2 linked regions of the Arabidopsis thaliana genome follow. The protein of the gene in region 2 interacts with the protein of the main gene of each other region in a pairwise test. Each region holds a gene or a part of one and is shown on either strand. Other genes may lie near its edges.

Region 1 (4,404 bases), on a different chromosome or scaffold from region 2:
AGAAGATTGGACTAATATTTGAGCTAAACTGGGTATCATCAATAAGTTCTGGGTCTATTTAGTATACATATTAAGAGTTATAGGGCTACTGTGAAATTTATAAACAATTTTGAGGACTTACAGGTCAAGATTCTAAGGAAAGAATCATACTGGTACAAGAACGTTGGATCAGTTGTGGCCGTTGATCAGGTAATGCATTTACTTTTGAAGTTAACGATCTAACGGTTAGATATCGTTTCATCTTATATTCCGGTCTAAATTGTCAGGACCCGAAGACCCGATATCCGGTTGTGGTCCGGTTCGCCAAGGTGAATTACGCGAATATATCGACCAACAACTACGCATTGGACGAGGTGGAAGAAGTAAAATGAGAGACATGGTTTATCTCTAAACCGGTTCGTCTGTTTGTAATCTTAAACAAAACCGTATGTACCAAAAAGTTAACCAACAATTCATCTTTTATCTTTTACAATCTCAAGATCGATTTCCAAATATGCATTTAGCCACCCAAAAATGATTGCAAATTCCAAGTAGTGTGGATCAAACTCAGCAACTCCGGTTTAGTAACAGAACCCAGCATGACTCATTGACTGTTTTTTGTACGTAGAAAGAAACACAAGATTCTTATTGAAAATCTCTATATAGACAGTAAATTCAAACAGCAAATCATCTCGACTTCAATAAGGAAACATGAAGAATCACCAACCAGTTTCATCTCTAGAAATCTCTAGGTCTGACCGTTTTTTCCATTGGCTTCAGCTAAAATTGCTTCCAGCTCTCCTTTATTGTGCAGCTGCAATGTATCTGTTCAACAATAATGATATGCAGGTCAAGTTACCAGAAAAATCACAAGACATTGAGCAAGATCTTGAGTACTATCTATCTTGGTGCCAAAATACACAAAGACGATCTCAATTACATATTAGAAAAATCTCGGTGTTGAGGTAAGAAAGGAAGAGAGATTGTACCTGAGCAGCCACCAATGTGCTTGCCTCCTGGTCATGAACAAAAACATGATATCAAAATTAGATAAGTGATGGTCATAGCAAATGTAGTGGCTAAGATTTTATCGATAGTTTTGTTTTCAGGCAAAATAATCAAGAAAAATGATCAGAGTATAGTTAGTAACTGGCTTAAATGATGAAACAACTAACCGATGAAAACATTGGGAACAGTGTATTGTCCAGTAATTTTCTCCAACACATTCTGCAGCTGCGACCCTTCTGAACCTGGAAACGCCAAAAACCACCAAAACTTTTGTAAATGTTTCAGACCAATATCATGAGGCAGAGATGTTTTACCCAAAGAAACTAAACAAGACAAGAAAGAACAAATGGTTTTGGAAAGTCACCAAATCTTGACACGAGAAAAGATAACTAAGAAGATAGCAACATAATAGTTTCTAACAAATAGAAGCATACTGTCTAAGATTCAAAGGCAGGAAAGAATCTTCAATTTGAAAAATTTAAGCCATTAGAAGTACTAGCCTACCCGTTGATTCTTCATCAACAAGTCATTGGTCCAAGGAAAACTACAGTGGAAGTAAATTTTTCACATAAACAAGACACAGAATCTCTGAAATGTAAAGCTATCTTAGGCCATTAGAAACCCCCCTAACCATCATCAATCCTCCATCAAAATCTAATCAAAAAACATACAAACCAATTCAAGCAAGCAGCCAAATGAACCAGAAGATAAACAAGAAGAAGTTGGAAACAAGTATTAATTTCATCCAGTCAAAATGCTGAAACATTAGGGCACTTGTAACCAGCTCTTCCTTGATCGATATAAACAATATCACACACATTATCAAAACCAATATAGCAAACTACTCAGACCCATATAGCAAACCAAAGTAAAGAATTGAGCATACCAAGTTGATCCAATTCAACAACCAGTGGCTCAACTTGAAGACTCTTGAACAAGGACTTCACTTGAGACGAGTATCTTCACCACCAAAAAGAACAAACCCAGTAAAAGTATCAATATTGACAAACTAGATCATAAATTAACAAAACCCATTCCTCTAATTGAACCAAAAAGTATAGTGAACCTACGAGCACCAGGTTTTGGAGTAAACAACGACAGGGTTCTCTGCCACAGTCGTTTTAACAGTCTCCTCCAATGTCGATCCAGACGAAGACGATGATGAAGACATAGCCTTAACAGAAGAACAACGGAGTGGTGGCCACGACGCGATTCCGATAACTGTCGGCTTTAGACATCTCCTGAAAGGTAACATGCCCAAGTTTCTGATTCCGCTTAACATGGAGAAAGAGATTGCTGGATTTGAATTTAACGACGTCCATGTCATGTTCGCGAGGTTTACTGTTGCGGCTACCATGGCGATTTCTTCTTCCGACGAAATTGGATGCTTTTCTTATTTTTGCCCTCAGATTAATTTACCTCTTTTTATATCGCCGATATTTTTTGTTCTTTATTTATAAATATCAATAAAACAACTAAATATTCATAAGAATTGATTAAAATTCTTTGTTTTTAATACATTTCTGTAGTTTTTATTTTCTCTAGTAAGTTTACGACCTTTTATTTACACATCATGATAAAATTAACAACAACAAAGAAAGATGAAAATGATTGGACAAAAAAGATACTACTAGTTCTTTGATGAGGCCATTTAAGACTGTAAAACAGTAACAGAAATTATTCAACACCCCAAAATGGGGTTTGTGTCTGCAAAATCCAATCTATTGAAAGTACACAAAAACAAAACATGTGCTTTCTCTCCTCCACCTCTTCCTCTTAGACCATTTTTCATTTCAAGATGACCCTTCGTCGTTTGGCTCACGAATCTGGATCGATGTTTTCGACAAGCTTGCTTCCAATTCATCCAGCTCATCCATGTCTAGGTCATCATCATCATCATCGTCATCTTCTTCTTCTTCATTGACTTCTTTCGAACTCTGTTCAGCATCACCACTACTCTTGCTTGTCCCTGCCTCTGCTTCTTTGTTCTTTGCCTGAAAAGCAAAAAACTCAAGATTCCATTAACATGACTTGGTTGTTTTAAATGATGAGTGAGTGAGAGAGAGAGAGAGAGAGAGAGAGAGAGAGAGAGAGAGAGAGAGCTCACCTTTTGTTCAGTCTCTTCCTGCTCTCTTTCCCTCTCGTATTCTTCACAAGCCTCAGCATCATCCACAAACAAGCTTGCATTGGACAGAAACAGCTCCCGACCACTGAGGTTACAAATCCACACAATGAATCAGCTTCCAAGGACAAAAATAGAGTCACACTGGAGATGGATATGTAACAGAATGATGAATGGGGATTACCTCATACGGTCGTTCTTAGCTCTCTCCGCTTGAGAAGCAGCCAAACCGGCATCTCTCTCAGCAATTTTCTTCCTCTTCCATTCCATAAATAGTGCAGGAGTCATTTGTGTTGCGGTTTGCAGTTTTGCACGCTGAAACATAGAACAAGAAAACATGGGTCTCACAAATCAAGTACCGGGTCCTAGCAGCTATGAGGGAAACTTGAGGAGTATTTTAAACCTCGTTTTCGATTTCGTCCTCAACTGCCAGCTTCTTCGATGACTCCTCTTCCAAGAGGGCTTTCATTTGAGATTTAAGGACATATCCAGGAGGAAGCGCGTGTCTGTAATGACACTCTTTGCCACCATTGGGGCATGACCAGAACCACCCATACTGTTTCTTTTCCACAGCATCCAGAAAATACTTGCAAACCTATTATTTTTCAGTAAACACAAAAACAATTACAAGTCAATAAAACTCAGCGAGACAAATAACTCATGTGTTTAGGATAAGTTTATGAGATGATTATTGAGATGAGACGCAGAGATATTATTTCTTTTAGCATAGACGTATATAGTTAAGAAACATTTATTTCAAAATTATGATTAGCACTAACATCACCAAAAGCATGAGTTCTTGTCAGGCATGAACCAAGTGCGCAGAAAAACACAAGGGAACAACGGGAGGCATAATAACATCTAAGACCCTAATGGCTCTTAATATGAACCGTGCTATTAGCTAAAGGAAGCGCATCGTAAGGCGAATGCACATCAGCTAAAGGTTAATCACAGCAAGTGCAACCAAAACTAATGCATCACTTCACATAATACACGTTAAAAGGCTGTATATTTGAACACAAACCAGTTCAGACATTTTCACAGTGCATTAACAAGAGAAAAGCTACTAATAACTGATAAGCATGTCCCGACAAGCATATAATAAAAAGTCCGAGAAACACAAGATAAGAGAAACAACTTACGATATCTGTTGGCTTATTCTGATTATATTCATTTTTCTTTGATTCAACAACCTTTTCAAGGGTCTCTTGATCCCACTCATCCATATCTCCATCTAAAGCCATATAAAAAAGGCAAAAATATGACCATCATCCAAAGGACCAAAGGGATAGATA
Region 2 (4,013 bases):
ACCAATCATAATGTGAAAAAAAACATGTGATGGGTTGTGGTAGTATAGTATCTATAAAACCTATGTTTGTCTACTTGTAATAATTGGAGTTAAATGAACTTATGTTTCCAAGTTGTAACAATATGAGTGTTTTCTTTTTTTACAAAACAACATTATGTTTCTAATGATGGTATAATAACCGATAACAAAAAAAAAAAAACTGTTAATCCATGTAGCTAAAGTAAAGATATGGGAATTTGAGCAGATGGACTAGTTGTAACCATTATTAAGTGTTGCTACTACTGATATAAACGATTTTTGTCTAGTTGATGGCTAATACGGTTCCCAAATCAACCATAGTAGTTCAATATTCAGTTATTCACTATTCATGCATGTAACATGTATATAAAAGCAACAATCATATTATTATAAATCTTACAATTTTCATTGCAAAAAACTTTTCAGTTTTGAATTGATACGTTTCCATGCATACATATAATTTTTATGACCACAAATATATTTTAATCTATTTATCGACTAAATTTTTTTTTTTGAAATGATAACATTAGCTAGTAGAGAATAAAGTTTATTTTGAAGATAATCCGCCACCACAAACGCTAATTTTGTTCTTATTCATTTAGAGCGATTGAAAACGCCAAACACGTGTAACCGCAAACCGCAAACGCTCCAACACTTAACATGTGTTGGCGGGTTGCAAGAGAACCAATCAAAGTACTTAAAAAATAACCAAAAGCTGTATATCAGTTCCTTTTGCTTTTTTCTTTTTGATAAAACAAACAGCATTGTCAGCTAATCAAATAATATAAGATATTGAAGCCTTTTAGAGTTCGGAAAATTTAACGCTTCAAACTTCAGAAGGAGTCTTTGTTGTCATTTGATCAACGGCATGAACAACGTTCTGAAGCTCTTCCCAAATGGCTTTGTAGACCATCCTTTGTCTGTTCACTGCAGATTGTCCCTCAAAAGCCGATGATACCACATTGATGCTACAAATATTAAGCAAAACTGGTATTAAGTAACAGAACCATCTAATATGACAAGTTAAAGTAAGAATCTATGACTGGATTCCATCAAGAGCAGAAGAATAAGTACTAACTTATATCCCAACTTTGATGATTCTACTACTTGTTGAACCTGAAACTTTTTTGTGATTAAAATGAAAGAAAAGGAATCTCAAAATATGAATTTATCTATATATCTAACAAACTTCACTAAACACTATCCATAACAGTGATAACACACATCTGCAACTTCACTCAAGTGTAATAAAGAATCATCATTGGAAGACAAAAATGAGTTAAATCAGAGTACTTACCAGACATGACGTCCATCTCCAGACATATCCGTTACAGTAACCGACTCTGCATTCAATTGTTCTTTGATCTGCAAATGAAGCCAAAACCTCATAAGTAGAGAGACATGTGTTGATAAATCGAAAAAAAGAATCGTTTGCTTCAATCATATAAGTAAGAGACATGATTCCTCATTAATTATCTTAGCTTAGTGATCTTGATCATTTTGGAGCTACTGAGAGCAATCGTGTTGCCAATACCAAGTTTCCATCAACTAAATATGACACATGTTGCCAATACCAAGTATCCAATCAATTCCTTCAAAAATTCACTAATAATACTATAACCTATAAATTGAATTGACACTGAAACATACACAATGAATCAATTTCACTGAAATTAGTTAATGAGGTATAAAAATCCAACCTTTAGCTCCATGGATTGCATAAGGGTTTGATCAATAGAACCAGCATCATTGATTTGAGAGGATTTAGTACTGAAATTAAGGCTGCGAATGTCCAAAGCACCAAACCCAGAAACCCTAGAAACTCTATTGCCGTAAATCGACGACGGCGCAGTCTCTTTACGAGACAAAACGGCGCTTACACATCTCGAGTTAGTGAATCTCACGAGAGGAGCTGAGAATGAAGCGAAGGGTCTCTTTGAAGATTGAAAAAGGCGATAAAGACTCGCTCTTGTGGAAGAGAGAAGAACGTACGGACGAGTTGTCGCCATTAATGTCTGCGCCATTGCTTGAGAGACTTGCGAGTAAAAAAAAAAAAAATGTTCTGTGGCAATGTCGTTGGTTCTTGAAAAAATGGGCTTACGACACAACACAGTTAAACTTAATGGGCTTTCGTGGTTTCAAGTCATTTTAAGATTTTAATAATATAATTCTTTAATGGAAATAATGTCAGCCGTTGGATCGAATCCTGAACTTGATCAATTGAACAACACCGCCTTTGGAAATTTGTTTCTCTCTTCAATGCGATAATTCTCTCTTCCTCTTCGAATTTTGTGAGTTTCTTCGAGAGTTGAGGAAGAGAGACTCGAGAATATGGCCAACGATACTCACACCGATGACTTAGACGAGCTTCTCGATAGTAATAATTTCCTAACGAATTTTAATTTGATTTGATAACATGTTCACCAATTCTAGGTGATTGGTGAAAAACGTTTTTGTTCTTGTGGGTTCGTTTTCTATAATTTAGAATTCTGGGTCTTTCTCAGGTGCCTTGGATGATTTCAAGGATCTTAATCTTACTCAAAGGTTACTCCTTTTTCTCATAATCTCTGTCTCTCTCTAATTGTATCTATGCCACGTGGTTAGATTACTTAGCTCTAGAGTTTTGAGATTGTGGTTACATCAATACTAAATTAGAGGTTCTGTTATGTTTTTGGTGGGAATTGTGGTGTTGATTAGCTTTGGATTTATGTAGAAATGGAGGGGTTAAGAAAGAAGAGGGTGATAAAAAAGAGACAGAGTCATTGCCAAGTGGGGTTCAAGGTCTTGGAATGGGGTTACCAGATATGAGGAGTAAGAAGAAAGGAAAGAAAAAGATTGCTAAAGAGGACCATGTTACTGAGGCACTTGATAAACTCAGGGAACAAACTAGAGAAACTGTGAAGGGACTTGAGTCCTTGTCATCGAAGCAGCAACCTACAGGTTCTGATGATGCTATGGTTGAAGATTGGATCAAGCAATTCGAGAATCTTACTGGGTCTAACGTAAGTATACACAAACTGAGTTGTTACTTCTTGCTATACTTATCTAGTTTAATGTTCTCTTTATCTTCAAGTTCTCTGATTAGATTAGATTACTAAAGTTTCATCTAGTTAAGGTTGTTGCAGAGTAGTAACACATGTTGCAAAGTAGTTTTGAAGGCTGTGTTAATAGTAGTGATACTGATACTAATATCGAAAAAACCACAATTGAAGATGAGAATTAGTTTGCAGAACCATTTGAAAGTAGTCTTGATCACTAGAAGTTTTGTTTTTATGATTTCTCATTTCATAATTTCCATGTTTTTGTTTAGGACTTGGAGTCGATAGTGGACACGATGATGCAACAGCTGTTATCGAAGGATATTCTTCACGAACCAATGAAAGAGATTGGTGCAAGATACCCAAAATGGCTAGAAGAGCATGAATCCAGTCTAAACAAGGAAGAATTCGATCGTTATTCACGCCAGTATGAACTTATCAAAGAACTCAACTTGGTGTACGAGAACGAACCAAACAATTCGACCAAGATAATGGAGATAATGCAGAAGATGCAAGAGTGTGGACAACCACCGAGTGATATAGTGCAAGAGATGGATCCTGGCTTTGATTTCGCTAGTCTGGGCCAAATGTAAGTCTTCTTCCTTATTGGAATCTCTGTGATCTTTAAAGACCCCAAGGTGACTAAGTTTTGTATATATATATGTTCACAGGTCTCCGGACATGCTCGAGTCTTCACCAAATTGTTGTGTAATGTGAGGGAAGAAACAGGTTTTAGAAAACTGTTTGGCCTTGTCCAGCCATTGAAGAATGGAGAACATGTTTTTGTTTCTCTTGTGCATTGTACAATGCAAAGCTTGTTTAAGTTCTTTTTTTTTTCTTACCTGAATACCAAAGTTATTGGGTTTCGGTTCTTGTTCCTTTTGGTTAGTTCTGTTTTGGAATAATTTTGAATCTCTACACACAAATTCATAAATTCACTGAAACATAAACGTGCTC

Evidence for each region. Proteins that work in one complex are often made in the same cells at the same time.
Region 1: the proteins of AT5G17560 (region 2) and AT2G20270 interact in a two-hybrid assay, tested with the Arabidopsis thaliana proteins (one study listed by BioGRID).

What each region holds. Positions count from the first base shown.
Region 1 is NC_003071.7:8,737,274-8,741,677, forward strand, and holds AT2G20270 (Thioredoxin superfamily protein), read right to left. Parts: upstream 2,388-4,404; 5' UTR 2,345-2,387; coding exon 2,058-2,344; intron 1,948-2,057; coding exon 1,874-1,947; intron 1,311-1,873; coding exon 1,155-1,310; intron 996-1,154; coding exon 969-995; intron 805-968; coding exon 728-804; 3' UTR 513-727; downstream 1-512. Other genes in the region: PSAE-2 (photosystem I subunit E-2), read left to right, coding at 124-189, 267-371; AT2G20280 (Zinc finger C-x8-C-x5-C-x3-H type family protein), read right to left, coding at 2,781-2,981, 3,095-3,197, 3,294-3,424, 3,513-3,704, 4,252-4,343. UniProt on the Arabidopsis thaliana protein: May only reduce GSH-thiol disulfides, but not protein disulfides.
Region 2 is NC_003076.8:5,786,503-5,790,515, reverse strand, and holds AT5G17560 (BolA-like family protein), read right to left. Parts: upstream 2,159-4,013; 5' UTR 2,043-2,158; coding exon 1,719-2,042; intron 1,384-1,718; coding exon 1,316-1,383; coding exon of another isoform or gene 1,312-1,315; exon of another isoform or gene 1,141-1,311; coding exon of another isoform or gene 1,122-1,140; exon of another isoform or gene 987-1,121; coding exon 845-986; 3' UTR 552-844; downstream 1-551. Other genes in the region: PEX19-2 (peroxin 19-2), read left to right, coding at 2,350-2,395, 2,523-2,562, 2,732-3,020, 3,329-3,645, 3,728-3,773.